3 linked regions of the Saccharomyces cerevisiae S288C genome follow. The protein of the gene in region 1 interacts with the protein of each later gene in a biochemical or structural test. Each region holds a gene or a part of one and is shown on either strand. Other genes may lie near its edges.

The links.
Region 2: the proteins of BBP1 (region 1) and CDC5 form a complex in vitro, tested with the Saccharomyces cerevisiae proteins (2 studies listed by BioGRID).
Region 3: the proteins of BBP1 (region 1) and MPS2 form a complex in vitro, tested with the Saccharomyces cerevisiae proteins (3 studies listed by BioGRID).

Annotation. Positions count from the first base shown.
Region 1 is NC_001148.4:66,121-76,684, reverse strand, and holds BBP1 (Bbp1p), read right to left. Parts: upstream 8,961-10,564; coding exon 7,803-8,960; downstream 1-7,802. Other genes in the region: GTPase-activating protein GYP5, read left to right, coding at 1-16; 60S ribosomal protein eL36 RPL36B, read left to right, coding at 446-461, 700-986; ATG41 (Atg41p), read left to right, coding at 1,966-2,376; YAH1 (adrenodoxin), read left to right, coding at 2,804-3,322; VIK1 (Vik1p), read left to right, coding at 3,679-5,622; HFI1 (Hfi1p), read right to left, coding at 5,734-7,200; cyclin CLN2, read left to right, coding at 10,071-10,564. UniProt on the Saccharomyces cerevisiae protein: Component of the spindle pole body (SPB) required for insertion of the nascent SPB into the nuclear envelope and for the proper execution of spindle pole body (SPB) duplication. Connects the central plaque of the SPB with the half-bridge.
Region 2 is NC_001145.3:268,320-274,095, forward strand, and holds CDC5 (polo kinase CDC5), read right to left. Parts: upstream 2,818-5,776; coding exon 700-2,817; downstream 1-699. Other genes in the region: YMR001C-A (uncharacterized protein), read right to left, coding at 3,028-3,258; MIX17 (Mix17p), read left to right, coding at 3,874-4,344; AIM34 (Aim34p), read left to right, coding at 4,799-5,395; MVP1 (Mvp1p), read left to right, coding at 5,698-5,776. UniProt on the Saccharomyces cerevisiae protein: Protein kinase required for the cell cycle where it is involved in mitotic exit. A component of the fear (CDC14 early anaphase release) network which promotes CDC14 release from the nucleolus during early anaphase. Phosphorylates SCC1/MCD1 and NET1.
Region 3 is NC_001139.9:359,123-369,690, forward strand, and holds MPS2 (Mps2p), read right to left. Parts: upstream 8,967-10,568; coding exon 7,803-8,966; downstream 1-7,802. Other genes in the region: KXD1 (Kxd1p), read left to right, coding at 322-978; RNA-dependent ATPase DBP3, read right to left, coding at 1,166-2,737; HNM1 (Hnm1p), read right to left, coding at 3,103-4,794; 60S ribosomal protein uL30 RPL7A, read right to left, coding at 5,213-5,842, 6,311-6,404, 6,864-6,874; stress-responsive transcription factor HSF1, read left to right, coding at 9,631-10,568. UniProt on the Saccharomyces cerevisiae protein: Component of the spindle pole body (SPB) required for insertion of the nascent SPB into the nuclear envelope and for the proper execution of spindle pole body (SPB) duplication.

The sequences.
Region 1 (10,564 bases):
AAAAGTTTTTAAATAGATGTATAGTTTTGCGCTGTGTGCACATTGTGTGCCTCTCCAATTTGTGTTAAAAAATGCATCACGACTCGTTTAGACAATGTTGTTGTTGTTGTTTTTTTTTTGACTGTATTTTCACCCGTACATCCACGGATGTGTTGGGTTTTTGTTTCCGCTTTACCGTGCGGGAGACGACCATGACCGAGAGGTCTGGTTGCGAAAGACGCACATACCGCGTGCGCGGAACTTTTTCATTGGGTTGCCAACCAAGGCTGTTCAGGGAAGCCCGACGAGGGAAGCTAGCATGAATGCACTAGGAGAGAGAGAGAGAGAGAGGCAGAGGAAGAGGCACATCATTGCATTTCTTGAATATTCGTTTTAATTAGCGTTAAGTCTTAAGTTCGTGTATTACCATAGTCAAAACAGAATAGAGAAGCAAGGATAATACAAAATGGCTGTCAAGACTGGTATGTTTACCTGAACTAATGAACTGTAGAGCAAAAGCAAAATGAACTGAACCACTAAGCCAACAACAGAAATACAAACAGGATGAGATTAAGCTCCAGAGATATGCAAACATCGTTTATATCCTGCACCCAGCGTTGCAGTACTCCGTGGAGTCTTTGTTTATTTATTTTGCTCGTATACTACGTGAGTACTAGTGTGCTTGTTACTAACATAAGATATTCTATTTTTTTCCTCTAGGTATCGCTATTGGTTTGAACAAGGGTAAGAAAGTCACCCAAATGACTCCAGCCCCAAAGATCTCCTACAAGAAGGGTGCTGCCTCCAACAGAACCAAGTTCGTCAGATCTTTGGTTAGAGAAATCGCCGGTTTGTCCCCATATGAAAGAAGATTGATCGATTTGATCAGAAACTCCGGTGAAAAGAGAGCCAGAAAGGTCGCCAAGAAGAGATTGGGTTCTTTCACCAGAGCCAAGGCTAAGGTCGAAGAAATGAACAACATCATTGCTGCCTCTCGTCGTCATTAAACAGCGTGAGGGGGCCACAGTCAAGCAAATCCAACTCCGCCACAAGACCGAGTGCTATTTTCCATGGCTCTCCCCCAAAGCTAGTTAATAAAAAATAAGTAACAAATCATTATAGTAATTCTTAATCGATATCTATTTAAGAAGTGTAACAGCACATGCAATGAACCGACTTCGTCATTCATTACCTCTGCTTTTCCCTTTTTCAACAGTCACGTGCGCATCTCCCTTCCGGGTAAGCACCGCACATGCCAAAGACCCTATCCTGGCTCGCCCACTCACTCATCTCCATTAGAGACTCAACCACATTTGTGGGTGTGTTACAGAAGTTACACCATACCCACTGTCCTGGTCCGCAACAGTTGCAAAATCAATGATGCCTGCTACCGTCATGCTATCATGACAAACGATGGCACCTTTGCCAAGCAAAAAACTGTAAACAAAACCAAACCAAGAAGTCCCTTGGGGTTGTGAGCCATATTCTCCATCTGCGTTGTTTCATAACCAGCCCAAAGGGTTGCACGTTCTCTTCCGTCGATCTGGAACCAAGCTGTGGCGCTGCGTGGAACCGTCCGGAAATCTACAGAAGCCGTTAGAAGAAAACAGAATAAACACACGTGACCCCGTCAGTGTGGAAAGCCGCGGGATCACCACCGTTATTCGTTTTTTTTAGCACGCGCGCGAAGATGACACATTGCACACCACATGTTTATGACCATTGTTATTACTCATTTCACTGTTATTTTGCATCCACATCCACACCCGGGTGGTTTTGCAATTCGGTAATTACTCCACGGTGCATAAAGAAGCGGCTCTGCGTAAAAAGGTATATATAAGAACAGGACTCATCTTGATTTCGGAAAGGGTCTGGAGCAACTCTCTTTCTTTCTTACTTGTTTTATTCTTGAGAAAACCAAACTAAATTGGCTACACCAAACCAACCAAACTTACACACAATAATATACAATTACAATTATTTACAATGTCCTCTGTGGAATCTTCCCCCATCTCGCGCTATGAAGACGAGGTCTTCCCTCTTTCGTTTTCAAACGTTGCTTTCGAGCCCCCTATGCTCTCGCATAGCCCGGACAGATCGACTTATGCCGATGACTTTTCTCAATCTTACCAGCAAGAATTGCTAACTTTTCCGCTATCGTACCCGATTGTCGATGAGTCAGAATGCACGCACACTAAAGATAAGACGGACAGCAACATAATAACGAGTACTGAAGACGATTGCATGTTCGATATGGAATTTAACGGCAACGCCGCCAGTGCAGTTGCTGCTGCTAGTAAGGAATCTAACTCTGCCTCTGGGTTTGCCTTTGCAAGTAACGATGCCTTTGCCAATGTCGCACAACAGAACTACAGACTGTGGTTGTCATCGGTATGACGCATTTTACCACATCTCTACTTGTTCTCACGACCCCTTGCATCGCATATCCTACACATTTTAAATCGGCATTCCTTCCAAGCATATTCTTAATTCCTAATTTTACATAGTTTTTTTTTTTTTTTAGAGAAAATAACAACAATATACATAGAACTTACTTACTCAATTCTACTATATCTTTTTTTTTTGTTACTATTAGTCATGTTTGCATGACTCCATTACATTTTCGTTTTTTTGCTAGCCAATTCTGGTCGTCGGAAAAACTTTTCATTGAATCTTTCAAAGCGTGTAGCAGTTGCATTTTTTTAAAAATGAATATGTATGCAAAATATATATATGTATATATATGCCTAATATACATAATAATAGAAAAAAAAAACCTCATACGAAATAGGCGCTTCTCGTATCTATACTCAACCCGCCCCCAATGCTGAAAATTGTTACTCGGGCTGGACACACAGCTAGAATATCGAACATCGCAGCACATCTTTTACGCACCTCTCCATCTCTGCTCACACGCACCACCACAACCACAAGATTTCTGCCCTTCTCTACGTCTTCGTTCTTAAACCATGGCCATTTGAAAAAACCGAAACCAGGCGAAGAACTGAAGATAACTTTTATTCTGAAGGATGGCTCCCAGAAGACGTACGAAGTCTGTGAGGGCGAAACCATCCTGGACATCGCTCAAGGTCACAACCTGGACATGGAGGGCGCATGCGGCGGTTCTTGTGCCTGCTCCACCTGTCACGTCATCGTTGATCCAGACTACTACGATGCCCTGCCGGAACCTGAAGATGATGAAAACGATATGCTCGATCTTGCTTACGGGCTAACAGAGACAAGCAGGCTTGGGTGCCAGATTAAGATGTCAAAAGATATCGATGGGATTAGAGTCGCTCTGCCCCAGATGACAAGAAACGTTAATAACAACGATTTTAGTTAATGTCTGCATTTTTACCCCTCATTTGTGCCCCCAATTTCTCCTGTGAATAATCTATATATATATATTTATAATTATAATTATAAGGAAACAAGTCAACTTTATAATATACTCTTAAACAATCGTTTCGCGATATCCTCTGTCATGCCTCCACTGCCAGGTCTTTATTGTTTAGTCTCAATAATCGCAATTAAGTTAATAATATTTGCAATTGCGGCAAAGAAAAAATAGGTAAACAAAGAACTGAAAAAACAAAAAAAACAAAAAAACAATGAATATAGAATATGAAATGCCCTAACAACACACACATACACACACATTCTCCTCGCAAAAGCACCATTTCCTGACCAGTGTACTTTATGGCGTCACAGCAAAACAAACACGCTTTTCTTTCAAAGAATAGAATCTTTCACAATCCCGATAATGTGTCCTCATCAAAATCTCGAAACCTTATGGATATCACAAACACGACAAACACCATGAATGGCTCTAGACCTTCGTCTATGAAGAGTTCATTGGCTCTTCCACCCGTAAAGGATTCCTTCCCATCTGTATCTCGATCTGCATCATTAAACATCAACATGAGCAAAATTAAGGACTTAAAAGACCGCCAAGACAAAATAAGGTTCCAAAGACATACTCTCAGGACTCAATTGATTGAGTGCGAAAGAGAAATCAAAACCATCAAGTTTCGAGATCTCAATAAGTCCAGGTTTGAACTTTATAAGAAAAAATCCAAACAAGCAAAGTATCTCAAACAGGTTAGAGATTTGACGCAAAATCTGAACTCCAAGGACGGTGAACGCGCTGATTTAATTAAGAAGAACAAATCCGCTTTGGCAACCTTGCAGGCTGAACTCGACCAGAATCTGATCTTGAAAAGGCAGGAATCTCAAGAATTGTACAATAATAAGCTTATCTTTTGGGAAAATGAGCTGCAAATAATGGAAAATGTCGAGCCTGACCACGAAATCACAGAGGAAATATCTCAGTTGAAGAAAACGCTGCAAGAGCTCAACATAAATTGGGCGAATTTACAGAAGCAAAACTTGGAAAGACAAGTAAACCACGAATCACAATTGAGGAAGGATTTTATTGCATTCAAAGAAGCTAAGTTAAAATCCATGGAAAATTTGACAAACAAACATCGTGAATTACTTGATCAGATAGCCACTCTACAATCGGAAAGTGAGAAGTTACACAAGGAGATCATGGATATAGATAGACAAGCTGAATATTCGGAACAAAACATCTCAGAAATAAATGAAAATATAAAACAATTGGAATTGGCAAACAACCCACTAATAAGCAAATCCTTACAAAACTCGCAAGATTTGGAACATTTACAAAACCAAATGGAAAATTTGAAAGAAATGGCCTCTAAACAGGAAAAATTTTATAATGATACCTATAACACTGTGGAAAAAGAACTCCTGCGGAGTAGGAGACTTGAAAACTCTATTATTGAACAAAAAGGCACGATGCGCTGTTACGCTTACGTGATGGAGCAAAATTTGCCTGAGAACCTTTTATTTGATTACGAAAATGGCGTAATAACCCAAGGTCTAAGCGAACATGTTTACAAATTTAATAGGGTGATACCGCATTTAAAAGTTTCTGAAGATAAATTTTTCACTCAAGAGTATAGCGTTTACCATGATATGTGCCTGAACCAAAAAAAAAATTTCAACTTAATATCTCTAAGCACCACTCCACATGGCTCATTGAGAGAGTCTCTAATAAAATTTTTGGCCGAAAAGGATACAATATATCAAAAACAATATGTGATCACCTTACAGTTTGTATTTTTATCAGATGACGAATTTTCTCAGGACATGCTCTTGGATTATTCCCACAATGATAAAGATAGCATAAAGTTGAAATTTGAAAAACACTCAATTTCTTTGGATTCCAAACTTGTCATCATAGAAAATGGACTCGAAGATTTGCCCTTAAATTTTAGTTGTGATGAACACCCAAATTTACCTCATTCTGGGATGGGTATAATCAAGGTGCAGTTTTTTCCTCGAGATTCAAAAAGCGATGGCAACAATGACCCCGTACCGGTGGACTTTTATTTTATCGAGTTAAATAATCTGAAGTCCATTGAACAGTTTGATAAAAGCATCTTTAAGAAGGAATCATGCGAGACCCCTATTGCACTTGTTCTGAAAAAACTAATTTCTGATACTAAATCCTTTTTCTTGCTAAACTTGAACGATTCAAAAAATGTCAATAAATTATTAACGATTTCAGAAGAAGTTCAAACACAACTTTGTAAAAGAAAGAAAAAGCTCACTTAAGCTCGGTCACATTATCGTCTTTCTTAACACAGCCATTTAGATATGAAACAAATAAGGTTTATAATCTTTCAATATAATTACAACATACCGCATACACACACTTTTTATACATCAATCTTCCGTTAAGATTCCTTTAATTAACCAATTTAATTCATGCCTTGTACCAACGTTTCTTTCATCCAAAGGCGTGAAAGTCGGCTTTTCATTTAAGAAGTCCGGCAAGTCGTCAATATTGCTCTTCATATCTACTAGTTCATCATCGTTAACTAGCCCTAAATTAGTTAACGCATAGTATGAACCTGAAGGTTCAACCAAATTCGGAAATATAGATAACGAATCATATATGTCTTCATTCGTTAATGATATCGTTCTGTTTTCATGTAACTCCTCATTAACTGCTTCGCCAGCCTTTGTAATGCTGCTCATTGATATGTCGCCAATATCGTCCTTGCTACTGTTATTGCCGTTATTAATACTTTTGGCTTCATCGGCACATTCATCCTCATTTTTATCATCATCTAACTGCTTAATTTTGGCATCGCGTTTATCAGCAGCCATTTCTGATACGGATTTATAAAGCCCACTCTCATTCAAATCATAATAATCTGAATATTTCTTCCTTCTATAACGAACTGTATCAATAGTAAACTCTATTATATTTTTTAGATATTGATCTAGGGCCAATGATATAAGCTCTACGCAACGTGCGTCCACTGTGCCGACTAACCCATGTTCTCTTGCTATACCAACCATTCTTAAGTAAAACGAATCCGTGTCTGGTAAAGAATGGCTTTCGCTCGCTAAAGGAACGTTGAATCCATTCATTATATCTTGTGACCATTCCAGCGGCGTTTTTAAATTATTGCTCTTGACACGCTTCAAACTTTCTGGATTGGTTACAATGGGAATTTTGGGTATATTATTTAATCTGGCTTGAAATACAGAGCAAAAAATGAAGCCTCTTTTGCCGGCCTCTTTCGTGATCATTTTAAGTCTATTTCGATCATTTAGAGGTAACGACATGACAATTTTTTTATAGACTTCAATTTGAGAGTTATGCTTATTGATTCTTTTTAGTTTATTGTTTGGATTGTTGCTTCCATTGCCAAATCCCCAAGAACTCTCATTACCGTTTCTCCCAAGAGGGTTTTCACGTAATGAATTAGCAAAAATCCCTAATAAAAGTTGGTTATGAAGTCGTACTAAACTATGGTGATGATTTGTATTTGATTTTTCTAAGCTTGCAGCGCTTGGTGAAAATACCAGCTCTAATTCATTAGAAAGTTCCTTTCTGGATAACTTCCCTAAAATGAAAAGACTGATGATCTGAGCATATTTCGTCCAGCTTTCTTTTCCCAATAGTGAGGTTAATTCTTCGATCATGGCACCCAAATCAATTCTCTGATTTGGTCCCTGAGGCTCCGCAGTTTCATTGTTACCATTGTTAGGCTCGGTATGATTACTGACGGCAGGACTACCAATTAGGCCCGGCTTCATATATGCATTCGTGGAAGCTGGCGAAGCAGCTGGATAAGTTGGCTGCAGAGGTTTAGGTGCTGGCGATTGTATAGCTGACATGATAGAAGAAATCAAAACTACTGGGCTTGTTTTCCCTATATTTTTATTGAATTTTTATTACCACTTATAGCTCAAAATTTATACTGTGGGAAAAATCACGTGCGAGAAAGTAAGCCCTATCCAATGATGATAACGAACAGACGAATGAAAAGAGCAACGATACTTTGTTAATCTGTTGTAAGTTCGATGTTCAAGGCACAAGTAGACAGAGACAATTTCGCGTTGCACCTACTTCTATCCTGAATTTTATCTTTTTTATTTTAACAAATTTATGTCACATCGTAACTTCAAGTTTCACTTTTTTTGTTCAAAATCGCAACCTGATAATGAAGAAAAAATGGGCGGGAATTACAGCTCGTGTTGAGTGATGATAATAAGAACGTATCTTTTTTTATTCCGTTATCTATATAATGTACATACCTAAGTAGTTAACACATTATCATTGCTATCATGACGTATTTTTAATGTTACAGTGGGAGAAACGTGTCAGCTTTTCTGCTTCAGCGTTCTATGAATCCGTCTATATTTTTTAAGTAATCAGTGTCCCATGAATGCGAATTAGAGTCGTAACTGTTATTTCCATTGTGGAATGGAGTCCTGTCCTATTGTCCTGTTGAAAAAATATTCGAACCAGCAGAAGTATCTTTTCTCTCGTTATTACGAAGGCTAAGCTGTAATAATAAATCATGTATTTCGGATTCATAATTGTCCCGCTGCATGTCCTTTTCTATTTGCAAATTGGTATATTTCAGCTCTAAATCGGATAGTCTTTGCTTCAATGTTTGTATTTCAAAGTTTTTCAAATCCTCCTCCTGATACAGCCGTTCCCTAGAAGTGGCCAGTTCAGCCTCATGACTGATCGTTTGATCAAGGACCTTTTTCAAACTCTTGTACTTCTGACCTAATGAATAATAATTTTCAAAGAGTGTCTTAGATTTCTTCAACTCGTTGACCAGTTCTGCTCTCATTTCCTCGTATGCTTGCTTATAAGTTTGCTCATTCCTGTGGAATTGCTCACGCTGCTCTCTAACATCCTCACACAAATCTTCCAGGTCTCTACTGTTCAAGTCCATTTGTGCAAAAAGATCAAAATATGCCTTTTTATACTCTCTATTCTTGTGGCAAGCATCTTCGTCCCGGACATAGTAATTGTCTATTTCATCACGTTTTGTTAAGGGAGATGGAAATTTGCCTGGTATATCTTTAACCGATAACTTATAGGGCGATCTTCTAACCTCATTAACTCCATCCTTGTTAAATAATTTCGAGAGCAAAGGGTCGTCTTCCTGAGGTGGTATAAAGGGTATCTGCGAATTGGAAAGCTCATTTATAGTTCTCCTTTTTGTGTGTAGTCTGTGACCAAATGTATCCGTAGGTTCGTTACGAAGTGGTTCTCTCGGTACTATCGGAGCAGGACTTCGTAAAGATCGTATTCTCTCTTTGCTGTGGTGGTCACCGTTAACAATTGAGTTAAAGCCGTTCTCGTTGTACTCTGGGAGTAACTCGTACTTCCTATGGAGCGTTGAATCCAGACCAGACCACGAATTTGACCTCGATAAGTTTGTACTCCTCCTGTTGGAGTCATTTCCAAACTTCATAGAAAAATTTGTGTCGTCTTGGGCATACCTAGATCGGTCTCTTCGTTCTTCCTGATCTTTATATTTCATTGAAGGTGATATGTCCGTACCAAACAGCGCATCCTTAGTCCATTTGAAAAGACCAAAAATGCCCCCTCCGCCCGTGTTGTCTTCCTGATTCATTGTTCAGTAGTCATTCGCCTCTATGCTCCTTCGAAGATTGACTTTTTTCGTTGTTTTGATTTCCTCGTCTTCAGTCTCTTTATGTTGTATTAGTTTTCAAAGTGTCAAGTTTTTCGTGATTTTCACCGAGCGACACAAAAACGGGTCGCGTCAGAAATAATTTTAAAAGAGCAGCGTAATATACCGCTACAGAAAAATTGGTTCAAGTATCCATTTTTAAGCATCTTTGCTTCTATTTACTCTTGAAAATATTCCTCCAGTATCGCCTGTGTTGGAGTGCGGTAACTTTTATTGTTTTCTCTACGAGTGAAAGGCATTTTTTGAAACCACTATTCGTTTCCTTCTGTAAGTTATCTCATCTTTTTCGTATCCTCCGCACTTTTACCCTGAAATGCGAACTAAAGCAACTATACATTGTTAATAATGATACTGAGGTTCAAAAGTGCCAAGTTATCAATTCATGCGCGCTTTACCCGGCTCCATCTTTCCGAAAACGGAAATCATCGCGAAATTTGTCTCAACGGAAGTACACGAAATTCGTCCCGCTGAACCTCAAAACTGCGTGTTCTAGTCACGAAACGCGCCAAAAACCGTTATGTTTCCGCATGCGGATACCTAGCGAAGAGCACATTTGGCGTAGCCTGTTAAGTATAACTGCTAAAAATTGAAATGAACACCAACTGAAACAACTGTTGGCCCTTTTTGAGGATCTAACCTGCGAAATGTTGATCTGACAGGCCTACTGAAAAACGGAAAGGAAAAAAGGCCTGCGCAAACGCAGAACGCAGATCCGCCTTCTATTTGCGTATCGCACGCAGCCTCTGGCTACTTGTTTAACTTACTATCTCTTTCATATATAAAAAAATAGCAATCGACTCTGGTAACTATTATGCTCCTCTTACTGGTTTTTTAGTGAATTGGCAATAGATAATATCAAGGACAACTTACTTTTATTTTAACATCTACTTTACTTCATCGTCAAATTTTCTTCTTATATACAGCATTGCTAGACTCTATAGCTGCCAATTCATTCGCTTACCACATCATAATTTGCATACAAAAGAAAATCTTTTCTTTTTTCCATTCATTCATTAAATTTAACGACAGACAATGGCTAGTGCTGAACCAAGACCCCGTATGGGACTCGTCATCAATGCTAAACCGGACTACTATCCGATTGAGCTATCTAATGCAGAATTACTTTCTCACTTCGAAATGCTGCAAGAATACCACCAAGAAATCTCCACCAATGTTATTGCTCAATCATGTAAGTTCAAACCTAATCCAAAACTAATAGACCAGCAGCCTGAAATGAACCCCGTGGAAACAAGGTCCAACATTATCACTTTTTTGTTCGAGCTGTCTGTGGTCACTCGAGTGACAAATGGTATTTTTTTTCATTCAGTTAGATTATATGACCGCTATTGTTCCAAGAGAATCGTGTTACGGGACCAAGCCAAATTGGTTGTCGCTACTTGTCTCTGGTTGGCTGCTAAAACTTGGGGCGGTTGTAATCACATCATCAATAATGTAGTCATCCCTACTGGCGGAAGATTTTATGGTCCCAACCCAAGGGCACGTATACCTCGACTCTCTGAACTAGT
Region 2 (5,776 bases), on another chromosome or scaffold:
CAATGAATGGCTTTTCTAAGAGAAATTAATTTCGCAATTTGTTGATGAGAAGTTCTGGCTACCTTAGTCACTATTTATTTTACTATGGCGGTATAAGTTTCTCCCGCCTTGAAAAAAGGAATACAGTAATAAAATGAATATAAATCAGGATTTTTTGGATTTTAACTAGGTAACAAAGAATTAGCAAATAACTGCCCATAATAGTATTCTTAAGTTTGTAGATACATGTCAAGTAAGCCAGCTTTTGATAAAACTTAAAAATTGGTAAACCGCGGATGTACCAAGTGAATAGCTTTCAAAATTAATGTTGTCACTCTTCCAATGGGCACCTGTAAGAATAATTAAAAAGAAATCTAGGTTCAAAACAATATTTTTGAGAAAATCTCAGGAAGCGACAGGTTATCATCCCATACATACAATATGAATACAAAAGCATGGCAATTTTGAATAGATATAGCTCTAGAACCGCTCAGGCGAAAAAAAACGCTATATGAGAACTATTGAAAAGGAAGAACTAACATGAAAGATGTTTGTTCATTTCGTACCTTTAGAAAAAGGGTATTAATGCTAGGGGTAAATATTATATATTATCTTCGTTAAGGGCAAGACCATTTATTTTATTTAGTATTAGTTATTAATGGGGCCCAATCAATGGACTGGTAATTTCGTATTCGTATTTCTTTCTACTTTAATATTGGTTTAATCTACGGTAACAATTGTGGACTTCTGCTTCAAACCTTCCTTTATCAAAGTTAGTTTCTCTCTAAAGTTACTTTCTGGATATCCTGGGATCTCGCCATATTTTAGTACTTCAACTAAGGGATATGTGGTGCTTTCATGGGAGGGAGAAATGTAGGTCACCAATTTACCTCCGTCGGATATTGCCATTTTATGATGATCTTTGAAATTGAACTGGAAAGTACCATCACTTAGTTCAAACATAACAAATGGTTTATACCTTGTGTATCTTCTCAAAAATACATCATCTTTATGATATTCTTCTCTGCCAAACGTAGATACTCGGCTCAAATTTGCCTTCATGTACTTGGCAAAAAAATCAACTACTTCTAAATGTCTACTTAGCTCTCGTGGTTTTTCGCTCAATAAATAATGACTTGCTACCCAACCTTCCCGATCGTCATAACTAATATACCAAAACTCTTCTGCATCTGCCAATCGGAGAACTGTGGTGCCATTATTAAATAAGACACCAATATCCTCTGTTGATAACTGATAGGAGAATCCGTGTTTGTTGGAGTAGTCGACCCACTTGGTAACTATCATTGGGTGTTTAATTTTAGGCAATCTTGATTTCGGAAGACCTCCCATTTTATACTGAGCTTCTGCTTCTACAATGCCATTCAAAGTAAGATGACACTCACTGGCTAATATTCTCAAGGAGATTTCTGATTTAATGACATTGGTCGATGTAGCTATTAATTCTTTTCTCAAAACGGCCTGTTGTGCTCTACGTATCCTTGCTTCACGAGCCAAATCGTTTAATCTTCTTTGTGCCTCTATATCAACAACCTCCTTATATTTCTGTTTCGTCCCGCCAGGGGATAAAGAATGTGGTAAAAATGGTCTGTTTTGGTGGTACTCTTCTAGTTTATCGATACTAGATTTAATTGAAGAAATATAATCCCTCTTTTGACGCTGAATTTTATCGCTGCTCATGCTTTCTAATAGTAGAGATTTTTCCATGCAATCTTTGAAGTTAACCAGTGACTGCTCTTCAGGAATATCCTCAAAATTTGGTGCTTCTGACATGACCGTCGAAGGAATAGATGGTGGGAAAGTTCCCCTAAACCATACATAATCCATAATTTCAGTCAAAGAGGGCCTTTCTATTGGATCTAAGGATAGAATGTCTCTTATTAAAATCTTACCTTCATCTGAGATTGGTTTATCTCTTGGAAACGAAAAATCACGACATTTGATTCTTTCATAAATAGTGTTTACATCTCTTGCTTGGAAGGGTGGCTTACCAATCAACAAAGCATAAAGCATAACACCTAATGACCAAATATCTACTTCAAATGAATGTCCAGAATGCTTACCCATCAACACTTCAGGTGCGATGTAATTAGGTGTTCCGCATATGGTGTATTTACGTTCACTTTCATTCGCCAACACAGCTGCCAGACCGAAGTCACCAATCTTTAAGTTATAGTTTGAATCGAAGAAGATGTTACCAAGTTTTAAATCTCTATGTATAACTCTTCTTGAATGCATATACTTAATTGCACCACATATTTGAGTGGTGAAAAATCTAACTTCTGGTTCTGTTAAAACTTTTCTTCTTTTTAGTAATTCCATTAATGAACCGTTGGGGCATATCTCCAATAAGATATAGACATTGCTATCATCCTCAAAACAATCAATAAACTGAACGATATTTGGATGGGACATACTTTTATGAATTTGAATCTCCGACAACAACTTTTTTCTTGTCTTCTCTGATTTAATTGAGGCTTTAGCAACTGTTTTGGCAGCAAAAATTTCGCCTGAATCGTCCTTAATTTGGAAACAGCGAGCAAATCCACCTTCACCTAAAAAATGACCTCGGTGATAGTCTTTTCCTCTTGTTTTGATTAATGAAGGTGGTGTTTTACACAAAGCTGATAACTTTTCCCTTTTCTTTTTTTGAGCTGGCTGGTGGTGATGATCATTATTCGGATCTAGTCTCTTTGTTTGTTTAAAGTGATTTTCTTTTCCTACGAGGTCTGCGGTATTTCCCTTTATTGGGGTGTGAACTAACTTGGAACGGGTATTCAATTGCTTATCATTGATAGCTTTAAGAGGACCCAACGACATCTTTATTCGACTTGATCTTACTCTGTTCTTTCTTCTCCACGGCTGTGATTTTTATTCTCTATGAATAACAAATGTAACGTTTATCGATGAATGAAAGAGAGTATATATAGAGAAGATATAAGAAAGCCAATGTTTTTGTGTACAAAAAATAATACTCAGCTCAATTATACAAACTTGACTATGCAGTTTAGCTTTTTTGTCTTTTCTTTTTTAAGTTTTCTTGAAAGTTAATGTAGTATATGCCACAAAATTGAAGGATGAAAAAATAGGAAAAAAAGCAGAATCAGAATTTGACACAAAAGGCTTATTGTTCTTTGAAACTGCCGCTTGAATTGGATTTACTTTCTCAGTGATTCTATATGTATTGTACGAAAGTTGAGTAGCACAAGAGTAACTGTTCAAGATATGCCTTGTTTCAAAGGATGTACATTCAAAGATCATCCCAGGTCCTCGAGATATTTATTCGTTCTATATTTTGGATTTTCTTTATTGGGTTTGTTTTGTTTTGACCCTTTTAGGTAATATCTTTTGACAGAGAAAAGTCCAAAAGTTCTTCCGGGTGATGCTACATAATGCCCTACCCGGGCAACATATAGAATAAGGTATATAAAGTAATAATATGCAGTGAAGTTACCACCGGGTAACGCATCTAGAACAGCTGAGATGAAAGAGGATAGGCTTGATCGCAGATTTTGCCCGCCCTATCTTTTCAATGTTCCTTCAACAATAACATAAATTTTGATGTAAAAATATGCTGGCGTCCTCGTACGATTCCCTCTTCATTTATCACAGAAGATGGTGATGATTCTACACATCTGGAAGGCAATAACAGTGCAACTTCATTTTCCGAGGTTCGGTTATGTCATGTGTGCTTTTATACGGCAAACGCCACCTTGAACAAAGGTATAAAAGAAAAGCGCTTTTTCACTCCACCGCAATCTCCGCGACCTATATAAGCCTATCACTCGTACAGTTTATAACCTTTAAGAAAAAGGATTAATATTTCGAACAAAGAACAGAACAAGAAAAGCAACAACAGCAACAAAATTCTAAAATATGGCACGTTCAAGAGGATCATCAAGACCTATATCGAGATCGAGACCTACTCAGACAAGGTCCGCTTCTACCATGGCGGCTCCAGTTCATCCACAACAACAACAACAACCAAATGCCTATTCACACCCTCCTGCTGCAGGTGCCCAAACGAGACAGCCAGGTATGTTTGCGCAGATGGCCTCCACTGCTGCAGGTGTTGCCGTTGGTAGCACCATTGGACACACCCTAGGTGCAGGTATTACCGGTATGTTTTCCGGATCCGGGTCTGATTCCGCTCCTGTTGAGCAACAACAGCAAAATATGGCCAACACCTCCGGCCAAACCCAAACGGACCAGCAGTTGGGAAGAACTTGTGAAATAGACGCGAGAAACTTTACACGTTGTTTGGATGAAAACAACGGCAACTTCCAGATATGTGATTATTACTTGCAGCAACTAAAAGCCTGCCAGGAAGCTGCACGTCAATACTAAGTTTAAAAGCTCAAAAATTTAGAAAATATTCACTAAAATCATACATTTCGGTAATGTTCTTGTTTTAACCATGTCATTTGACTTATTTTTTTTTGATGGTTTTTCACAGAATCGCATACTCCACGTGAGAACAAGAAAAAATGAAAGGAATAAGGACTAAATGTCTTATATATATGGATATTTATTTGTTTTATTTTGTATGTAAATAACTTTTATAAATCAAATCATCCAATTTATTGACTTCATAATCATTTAATCATCTGCACCCCCACCGCGCGGTGTGGCTGACATTTCCTATGAAGTTCTCAACAGGGGAGGGTAACGTAGTACCTTCGAAGAGTTTGTTTATTTACTATATTTTATGCTCTTCTTCAGAAGGGCCTGTGATACGCATGTTTCTCAAAAAGACACCTAGTGCAGCTGAACCGGCAAAGTAAAGCTTCTGAAAGAAGACATGTCAATTTCTCTATTAGGTAGAATTGTTTCACAACAATTCTCCGGCATACGGGCGGCTGAGCCAGGGAGATCTCTATATTTACCGTTTACCTTACTATTGAAACAGCCCGGTGCTTACAAGGTGAGCCTACACAGATATGTACATAGCACCCAAACGAAGAGCCACTTGAGCTTTTTAATGAATAATAACGATATAACACCTTTTCAAAAATTTACAGTTAAAGTTCTCAAAGAGCAGTGCAAATCAAGAGGGTTAAAATTATCAGGTCGCAAATCAGATTTGCTACAAAGACTTATCACGCACGATTCATGTTCAAATAAAAAAAGTAGTGTGAAGATAAATGAACCCAAAAAAAAGAGGATATTAATAAATGATCCAATCAAAATCACGAAGAAATTGGTTAGTGATAAAACTTTTAGAACTATTGAAAAAAATATTTCTTCACTGCAGAACACACCTGTTATCGAAACTCCCTGCGACGTTCATTCACACTTGCAACCAAGGGATAGAATATTCTTATTAGGATTTTTCATGTTATCGTGTCTTTGGTGGAACCTCGAACCTCAGGAATCTAAACCTACCATTGACCATTAGAAATATAATTCTAGCACTGTAATTAATTGAACTGTATATTCTTTCATAATTTATTAAGACACTTTTACTTTTCTCTACGCTCTCAATAAGTTATTGTTGATCCAGATCATCTCGATATTGCCGTCATTTTCGGTTAAGGTAGGCGCTTTTACGAAACACATGCCAGAAAAAAAAGTGAGGAAGGAAGGTACAATGAAAACAGGGTGAACGCCACTTCTTTTCACCCAAGTTGTAAGAGAAATAATAGTAAAAGCAATCGAATTTGGATTCTATAAAACACCACTGAGGCGAAAAAAAAAGTAATGGACAATTACGAAGGCAGTGATCCTTGGAATACCAGTTCTAATGCATGGACTAAGGATGATGATCACGTCGTTTCTA
Region 3 (10,568 bases), on another chromosome or scaffold:
TCTCATTTTTACCTCTTCTCCTTTTCATATATGCATGCTATAGAACCATTATCTCTATGAGTTTCATTTTATTTAGTAGTTAGTATTGAACCAAACTACATAAGATGACATATTCTAAATAACCTAAATAATTATTATGTCTTTATTCAAATATTTCTTTTATATCCAAGACAATTTCCCTCTCATCTCCTTTGTATTACTGATTATATTCAGCCATTCAAAAAGTTAAAAAAGAACGTTTTTCACTGAAAAGTCGCAGCTATATTATAGTAAAATAATAAGAGAGGCAAAATAATGGTTACCAACACTTAGTGAAGAACAATGGTGACCGGAATATCGGAGGAAAATGATGATGAAGAGACTTTTTCGGCTGTTCATTCTTCAACACCCAGTATTAATTCTCAATCCTACGCGATTCCTATAACAGAGGAAATGTCCAGCTCTTTCCATGATTCGATCAGCACCACTAGCAACTCAAGTGGTAGCTTCGATAGTGATGGAAGTAACGTTTCAGATGTTGTGGAGCAAAATGAAATGGACAATGAATCTAACGTTGACGAAGATTTGTTCCTAGATAACGATATCCCTCAGTCAAGCAATTTGCTACCCACGGATGCCCAGGATCCTGGTCCAATATTTGACGTTTCTAGATATATTTTTGATTCTCTAAAACAATCTATTGATTCTGCTGATTTCTCAGAGGCACTTTCTCTACAGACCAAAACCTCCGCTGTTATAAATTCGAAAAGCCTAGAGCTTAAACAATATATTGATGAAATGAAGAGCAGGCTCACTCAACTGCAAGAGAAGTTTGAAAATGGTGAGGCTACTTCAAAAAAAATAAAACGTGATTTAGAAACTTCAAGAAAGAACATCGACTATTTAAACGCTGCTTTGCGTGTCGATTTCCCCATAGAGTTTAATCAGGCAAGAGAAAAAATTCTTGAGCGCAGATTGAATGAAGACCATGACTGCTGATATACTGAATCGTATTTTTTTTCTAGAAAATATGTATACTATGTGAGAGTCAATTTAAATAATATTAATGATAAATGAAAGTGGGCAGTTATAATAGTAATATACAGTGTTTTGTTAATAAATCTCCGACTCTCGATTGGCTATTATTAGAGAAGAAAATCCAAGATTGAAGTAAACGAAAAAACCCCTAATCGAAAGTAATTTTTTTTGGTTTCTTAGTCAAATCGACGTCCTTAAAGAATGAACCATAAGCGCTATGTTCCTTCTTCTTAGTGTGAGTACCGAACTTTATCAAATCTTCAGGAACAGGTTGATTGGCACCATTCAAAACGTTAACCAGTCCACCAGCCAAATGCTTTTCTTGTTCAGTGAACAGAGTGTGTGCTGTGCCTGTTTGACCAGCTCTACCAGTTCTACCGATTCTATGGACATAATCCTCCACAGTCAATGGGAAAGTTAAATTAATAACTGTCTTAACATTTGGTATATCTAAACCTCTTGCTGCAACGTCGGTGGCCAGTAACAAGTTAGACTTCCCGCTTTTGAACTCATTCAATGCTTGCGTTCTTTGTTGCTGGGACAAATCACCATGGATAGCTGCGACGTTATACCCGTTATATTTCAAATTCCTTTCAACACGAGCAGCTTCCTTCTTATAAAGAGCAAAAATCAAGACCTTTTCATTCTTTTTTGGACCAGAGTGGTACTTTTTCAACAGTTCCAATAACTTTCTTTCTTTTCCACGTGGGTCCACCACTTCAACAATCTGTGTAATTCTTTTGTTAGCAGTTAGTTGGTCCGTGTTACCAATAGATACTTTGATTGGGTTGTTCATGAACGTGGAAGCTAATTCACGGACTTCCTTTGGCCAGGTAGCGGTAAACATTAGAGTTTGTCTTTTGGACGCATCAGTTTCTCTGATAATATTCTTGATGTCTTCTTCAAAACCTTTTTCCAACATTCTGTCTGCCTCGTCTAATACTAAGTAATTAACTTGAGATAAGTCAACAGATCCTTCCTGCAATAGGTCTAATAATCTACCAGGTGTAGCAACCACCACTTGTGACTTTTTTAACTGAATTCTTTGCTCATCCTTTGGAACACCACCATAAACACAACAACACTGCATACCAACCTTGTCAGTTAATACAATCAGATTATCATAAATTTGGGAAGCAAGTTCTCTAGTTGGGGAAATGACTAGAACCTGTATGCCCCTTTTCTTTTGATCGTTCATTAAATGGCTGATAGCTGGAACACCGAAAGCAAATGTTTTACCAGAACCGGTCTCAGCAACACCAACAACATCTTTACCAGATAACAAATATGGCCAGGCTACGGCTTGAATAGGCGTTGGTTTTGGAAATTTGGAAATTTCTGCTTGAATGGAAGAGTCTAAAGAAAGATAATCAAATGATAATAGCGGACGTAGGGCTAGATCCAGAGAATCCTCAACAGCAATTTCATTTTCCTTGAAATATTCGTCAATATCAGATTGTGGAAGACTGGTTAGTGCTTCACTCTGAACATAAAACTCACTAGCCACTGCAGAAGTAGGTTCAGGTTTCTTTTCAGATTCTTTCTCTGGTACTTCCACTTCCTTCTCACCCTTCTTCTCCTTCTTATGCTTTTTATGCTTTTTATCCTTCTTTTCCTTCTTGTCTTTCTTATCCTTTTTGTGTTTCTTACTCTTCTTTTTTTCAATTACCTCCTCATCTACAACCTTTCTCTTCTTGTCTGCGATTTCTTCCTTTGTCATTTTAATCCCCTATATATCAAACTGTTAATACTTATGCTTTCGTTAAAAGGCTGTAAAATGAAGTTAAGCTATATCTCTGAGCTGCTATATTGTTGCCTATCTATTATTAATATTTTTTTTTTATTTGCTTCTTATGCGATGAGGTGAAAAATTTTTCATCTTTTTCCCGCAAAAATATTTCAAGAAATTTGAATTACAGTCACATCGCTTTCAAGAGCGCAAAGCCTGAGGGATATTTAGGTTGAAATATCTTAGTCCCTCGTCTAAAATGGCTTAACAAACCATTAAAAAAAATTCACTTTTATTACTTCTATGCAAATAATATACTTAAAATAAATAACGGTCGACTGATCAACACTATAAATTCACTTCTTTCCCCACGGTACGTGTTCATTTTCGAGTTCAACGTCAGAGGCCGCAACGGAAAATTCTCGACTATCTTCAATGGTATCGAAGTTATTACTATATTCAGCCTGTTCGTTCTCAGATTCTTCTAAAGCGTGGAATTCCTTCTTACCCTTGTATTTCCAGTAAAGAATCGAATACGCAGTATAACCAACAATAACTACACAAACATAGTTCATGTTATCCTTTGTCACAGGTAAAACTGGTGGAAAGGAAAAAAAGACCACAGAAAAGACAGTCCAACCCAAAAGAACAATGTTTGAAAAAAATCCAAATTTTCCAAGCCAGAATGGACCATGAGCTATGTTACGCTTTTTAGCAAGTAAACATATAACCGGAATGATGTAGGATAACAATAAAAATGCAATACAACCTGTAATTAAGGACTGAAAAGCCGTACTGGAAGCCAAATAAAGTAGGCCAATGAGGGTTATCCAAGCGCATGACATTAAATGAGCGTTCAAAGGTACACCAGTGTGTGGGTTAACTTGCGACCATAAACGGGATAATGGAAGACCATTGTCCCTGGCAAATGACCAACATAACCTTGCCTGCCAAGTGTGACAAGCAATGACGCAACCAAAAGAGGTAAATAGAATCAAGCAACCCAGGAAAATCGCACCTGATTTATTACCCAATGCCTGATTATAAATGTCCAAGATTGGGGCGCCTGTTGTAGAAGACAAGACAGCGTCCAGATCTTGTATAGAGAAGAACATAGCGATAACATAACAAAAGGAAGTGACAAACCCAATGGCGACTGTTCCCATGATAGCAATGGGAATAACTCTTTCTGGTTTTTCAACTTCAAACGCCATATGGGTTGCACAGTCAAGGCACGAAAATGACCAAGCTGGGTTAATCAAACCGACAATAAAGGCGATACCGCCGTTCTTCCAACCTGTTTCATTATTAAATGTGGCAAAAACAAACTTTGCATCGTTGAACTTTCCATGAGAACATGCCAATACAGTAATTGTAATTGTGAAAAAGGATAGTAGGGAAATGTATAGAGAGGAAGATGAAATGATAGGTAAGGATTTACCGTAACAGTTGAAAAACATCAAGAACAAATGCAACAATTCAAAGCAAACGAATATATGCCATCTCTTTGGGATGAATTCAGGGTGCGTCAGAGCGTACATACCAACCACTTCGGTAGCAACGGATAACGTAGTTGAAGCACTTGTGAACACGGATCCTGCGTAAGCAAATGAACCGCACATGTAGGCCGCAAATCTTTTGTACTTAGGAGGGGCAAGCTTCAAAGACCACCAAAACTGACCACCGGCGTGCGGATATGCGGAAGATAATTCACCCAACGAGGTACCAATGCAAATAGAAATCAGGGCAACAATAATTATACCGTAAACAATCATCATGGGTCCACCAGAAGATATACCTGCAACCATCGATGTAGAAATACCGAACCAGGAATTAGTCAAACCGAATCCAACACCAAGAATTGACCACAACGAAAATGACTTTCTTAGATGAACTTCACCATCTGCTGCTACAGCACCCTTGCTATCCATATCATCCAATGGCTTTATTTCCTCCTCAACTCTTAAGTCTCTTTTGTGCATAGAAGCGTTCGAAGATTGATCCGGCTGCATATAGCCACCGGAAGCATTATCATTCCGAATACTCATCGTTCTTCAAAATACTAATTTCTGAGTAAATGAGCCAGTTAACACTGAAAGATATTCTTTCTATGGAAGTTCGAAGATATTATAATTTTTCTTTATGCAAGCTATATATGATAAGCACAGACACCTTCTTTCCAATTGTTGGTATTCAAGGCTTTTATAAATAAGTTGGCTAACTTTCGTTGAAATATCGGCAGTTTAGAGAAGTCAAGGCCGCTTATCTTCAGTTTTCATTTTTTTTTTTTTCGTTATATAGGTTCTGCGCATGTGAAAAAAAAGAGAAGAAAATAAAGCCAATTATAAGTCATTACTGACGAAATTATAAGATAAATTAGAGGTACAATATACAAACTAGTGAATAACAGAACTATATAGGACTTAGATAAAATAAGTAGTTATATGTAATGTGACTTCAACCAGTTTAGTTCATGGACTTAACCAATTTGTTGATGAATTCTTCACGGTTACCGAAAGAACCACCTTGGATAAAGTGCTTGAACTTTCTTGGGACACCCCAACCACCAGATGGGTTGGACAACTTGAATGGCCACAAAAAGTTGTTAGCTTGCTTGAAGTGTGGACCAACAGTGATGATTTCGTGAATCAAATCGTCAATGGACAAGATACCATACTTACCCAAGTTGGCTTCGATGATAGCATTGTCGGACAATGGAACTCTTTGCTTGTTGATCTTACCGAAACCTCTCTTGTAGACCAATTGTCTAATAGTAGAGTACGATGGGTAACCGTAAGCAACGTATGGTTCAATCAACTTCAATAGTTCCAAAGTAGCCTTGGTAACTTTGACGAATGTACCAGAGTTGATTCTTGTCAATCTTAGCAATTGTAGAACCTTTCTTGGCTTAGGTGGGATCTTGTTAATACCCTTGATTCTGACAACGAAGACCAACTTGTGTTGAGCTTCGACGTAGTAGGAACCAGCAGCCTTGGCATCACGCTTAGCTTGAATGATGTTTCTTTCAGCAGTTTCGTATTCCTTTTGGTAAGCGGCGTTTCTTTCCAAAATAATGGCTCTCTTTTCCTTGTTAGCCTAAATGAAAATAAAAAGTAAAAAACAGTAAATTGATGTTAGTAAAAAAATACCAGATGGAAAACACAGTATTTTATGCTAAAAATTGTTACACGGCATTATCACTCAATGGTTTTTCTGACACTGGAAACACGGCAATAATTGTAACCTTAATACCTTAACTCTCTGGTCTATTTTACTTTCTATTTCTTTTCTTATAATCAGTCGAAAGATGGTGATAAGTTACGACAGCATCGTCAATGACTAGTCGAATATGTATTGGGATACAATGGATTTTCATCATAAAATGAGAAAACAAACAGAACGTAACAAATAGTCCATTAGCCTAATGATACCACAGGTGTTGAGAATATTGCAACTGTTCGAATGATACTTATCAAAATTGGCGACGCACGTGAACTCACATATATCCCAGTAAGAAAATGTGTTGCAGCATAAAATATAAATGTAAGCAAAAGTTTAACATACAGCCTTACGAGCAGCTCTTTCAGCAGCGACTTGTTCAGCAGTCTTTTGTTGAGCCTTAGACTTCTTCAACTGAGATTCTGGGGTCAAGATTTTTCTGTAATAATACAAATAATAAAATATTTTTGTTAGCATAACCGAAAATAGAATGAATTAGGTTTGTATGACCATCAAGTAAAACTTTTTTCTACGAAGTTACATCGAATTGAAAACACCACTTTTCATTCGAATGAAGGGAGTGAAACAGAGACACTTAGGAAATGAAAATTTGAGAAAATATTCTAATCAAGGTCGGCGATGAAATTTTTGGCAACAATCAAGATATTTCAAATTTTTCCTCAAATTCATCAACTAAAATTGTCTTTGACCCTGTGAAGGTAATCCCCTACGGAAAATCATCTTGTGAATAGTCACAAGTTGAAGATAAATGTAAGTGTGAGTGCAAATGCTATTAGAGCAGAATTGCTCCTTTTTCTCAACGTAACTTGCGGAAACTAGTATACTTCTCTGGATACTTTAGGAAATAGTAATAAAATAGACGATTTCGTATACATACTCAGCGGCCATTGTGATCTTAATTTGCTTGGTTGGTTATTTGGATTTATATGAACCGAAGACAATACAAGGCAGATCTAGTGTCTTGATTATTTCAATATTTCAGAAAGGATGAAGTTGTCAAAGTGATACAGATACAGATGGCAATGATTCTCAGAAGTCGCGTCCGGCAGCGACAAACCTGCAGAAAGAATTTCAGACAAAATTTGAAAAAATATATATATATATATAGGAAAGGTACGGATTTATAGATATGTGTGGGTGTTTATATGATCAGTAGCTATTCTCTACTCAACTGATGTGAACTGGAGTACAAATTATGCAAGATATTTTTTTGGCCAAGCTACAAACGTAATACGTAGAAGAATGGATAAAATAGATGTATTAAATATCAGCCCCGAAAGATGGTGTAATTTAAGTTGACAACATCGCAATTTTGCTAGTCACTTTTTGGAATGCCAGAATCGGCAGTATCATCACTAAATAAATACATCTCTTTATCCTATTCCTCATCTTGGATAGAGAGTTTACGCATCTGAGCTGTAACATGAAATATCACATGAACTCATATGAGATATAAGACATTAGCTCGTTATTATCAACGCTGCCACGCACATTATTTTGTGTTATGCATATCTAAAATAATAAAACCTGTGCTATTATAAGTATATATTTTTGTAACAAAATGAGAAAAGACCAAGGTAAAGAATGTGTTGCTGAAATATCGAGTTCATCCTTTTTATACTTCGAAAGGCGGTTTTTTTCTCGTTCATCGCAAGGGTGACGGCAGATGTAAAAAAAAAAAAAAAAAATAAAGTTAGGACTAGCGATTGTCGTAGACGCACATCAATGCTGAATTATTTTGAATTGAAGGATATCATGAACGGTTTACGTGACTATTTTCACTGTGTATGAAGTGGCACGGTGCAAAGGCCAAGGTTTAAATGCCGAATACTCTACTATATGCGTCATCCACATTGGCATTTGAACGGTATTCAGTTTCTAAATCTGTCTGATCTTCAAAGAACCATACAATCTTGCTTAATATGCCACTATTTTCCCACCATGATAATTGTAACCTTGAGTTTTGGGATGGTGTGTCATGAGCATATACGTATTTTCTAATGTATGGTAGGACACCTGCCAGTAAAGCGAAACAGACTATAATTCTTATTGTTGCTTTTACCCATATGTTGGAGGGAACCGCGGAAATAAAATTCTTGAAAGTCCCATCACCATCAGTGGTTGCATGTTTTCGTTTTGAATGTGATACCTTATCGTTACTGCAATTGAGCCCCCTTTCTCGCCGTATTTGATCCTTTAGGAAAGATATGGTGTCTGTTTGTCTCTGTAATCTTCTTCTAAACTCTTCCAGAATGGCTTTTTGATCGATTCCCGTTACCAGAGGTGATCCTGGGTCAGATGTTCTGGAGCTATTTTGATTATCTTCCACTTGTCTAGCTTTCTGTAAGTCGCTGAACCGCTGTTGTATGGAAGCATACTTTTCTTGATAAGTTTCGAGCCTTATTTTCAATTCGCTTACTTGTCGTTCATTTTCCTGAAGGAGGCTTTGTTTCGCAGTTAGTTCTCTTTTCAATTCCTCCACCTGCACCTCTAAGGCCTTTCCTATATTATTCCTGCTTAACAGCTTGATAGGTGATTCAGTAAGCTTCTTCCTAGGTGTCGAAATTCCAGCCCCCTCTGTATTCTTGTTCTTGTTCTCAACCAGAAATTTGGAAGGTGAATTCAAATTCATGCTTACGATAAAATCACTTGGAATAGAATCTACACCAATGAACGCGTTTTCTAAGATTTCCCTGAGGGGGTGATTAACCAAATTGAAGAAGATATCGTCAAATTCTTCTTTGTGTATTTTAAAGAAGGTTTTTGTATTAGAAAACGTGCGAAACAAATCTTTATTGATTTCTGAAAACAATGGCAATCGAAGCTCATAGGAACCACTTTTCTGTGCCTTTTGAAAGATATTCTCAATTATCTCGATTAGCTTTGGCAAATCTTTACCATATATAAAGTCTCCACTGATGGGTTTGTCAATTTGGCCCCATGCGTACTCAAAAATAGCATCAAACGCACCGTTACTCATACTTACGTTGTCAAAGACAGAATTGTTTGTAAAGCTTTCTTTCTTAACCTTGGAGCCGCCAAAAAAAATACTCCACTAAGGCCAGTAGCAACAACACGTTTTCTTGGATGATGCGTTTTCTTGAACAAACAGTACCGACTAGGACTGTTTCAATGAAGTTGTGTACGGTCTGGTAGTATATCTATATTCCGTGATGCCTTTGTGGAGGACGTTGAGATGAGACTGAGTCGTACACCATGTTATTCCTGTTTACGGTTAATTGCGCGTCGCGCTTTCTCTAGCAAATATCTCGGTTCGAAGTAAAGCAGGTCCTTCATGTAATGGTAACCTAAGGCAAAGGGTTTGTCATATACCCGTGAAGGCATTTACACAAGCGCACTTCTAGTCATATGCAGTTCATGCATATTAAGTGAGTGTTATAACGCAAGAGTTATATTTGAAATAGGGTTGTTAAAGAAGGGAGAACCCATTCACCACATTATCTTTGCGAGTGTAAAACTAGATAACTTAAATTTTTAGGAGAGATTTTGCCACTTGGCAGCAAATACCAAATAGCAGTACTGTTCCGGTAGATAAAGGCAAAGAGTTAGAGGTGTGCTTTACGAACAGCGCTGGAAGGGAAAGGAAACAAAAAAGACAAAAAGACAGCTGTATTGTTGGCGCCATGAATAATGCTGCAAATACAGGGACGACCAATGAGTCAAACGTGAGCGATGCTCCCCGTATTGAGCCTTTACCAAGCTTGAATGATGATGACATTGAAAAAATCTTACAACCGAACGATATCTTTACGACCGATCGTACCGATGCAAGTACTACATCTTCCACAGCCATTGAAGATATTATTAACCCCTCATTGGATCCGCAGTCAGCAGCATCGCCGGTTCCTTCTTCCTCTTTTTTCCATGACTCAAGGAAACCTTCCACCAGTACACATTTAGTAAGGAGAGGTACTCCATTGGGAATTTACCAAACCAATCTATACGGTCACAATAGCAGAGAAAATACTAATCCTAATAGTACATTATTATCTTCTAAGTTACTCGCGCATCCACCAGTTCCTTATGGGCAAAATCCCGATTTACTACAACATGCTGTGTACAGGGCACAGCCGTCAAGTGGAACCACTAACGCGCAACCGCGCCAAACCACAAGAAGATATCAATCCCATAAATCACGGCCTGCATTTGTTAATAAACTATGGAGCATGTTAAACGATGATTCTAATACGAAACTTATACAGTGGGCGGAGGATGGAAAATCTTTTATTGTCACGAATAGGGAGGAATTTGTGCACCAAATTTTACCAAAATATTTTAAACATTCCAATTTCGCTTCCTTTGTAAGACAATTGAACATGTATGGATGGCATAAAGTTCAAGATGTCAAGTCAGGATCAATTCAAAGTAGTTCAGATGATAAGTGGCAATTTGAAAATGAAAACTTCATTAGAGGTAGAGAAGATTTGCTGGAAAAAATAATCAGGCAGAAAGGTTCCTCCAATAACCATAATAGCCCTAGTGGTAACGGTAATCCAGCGAATGGTAGCAACATCCCTCTGGACAATGCCGCAGGAAGTAATAATAGCAATAATAACATCAG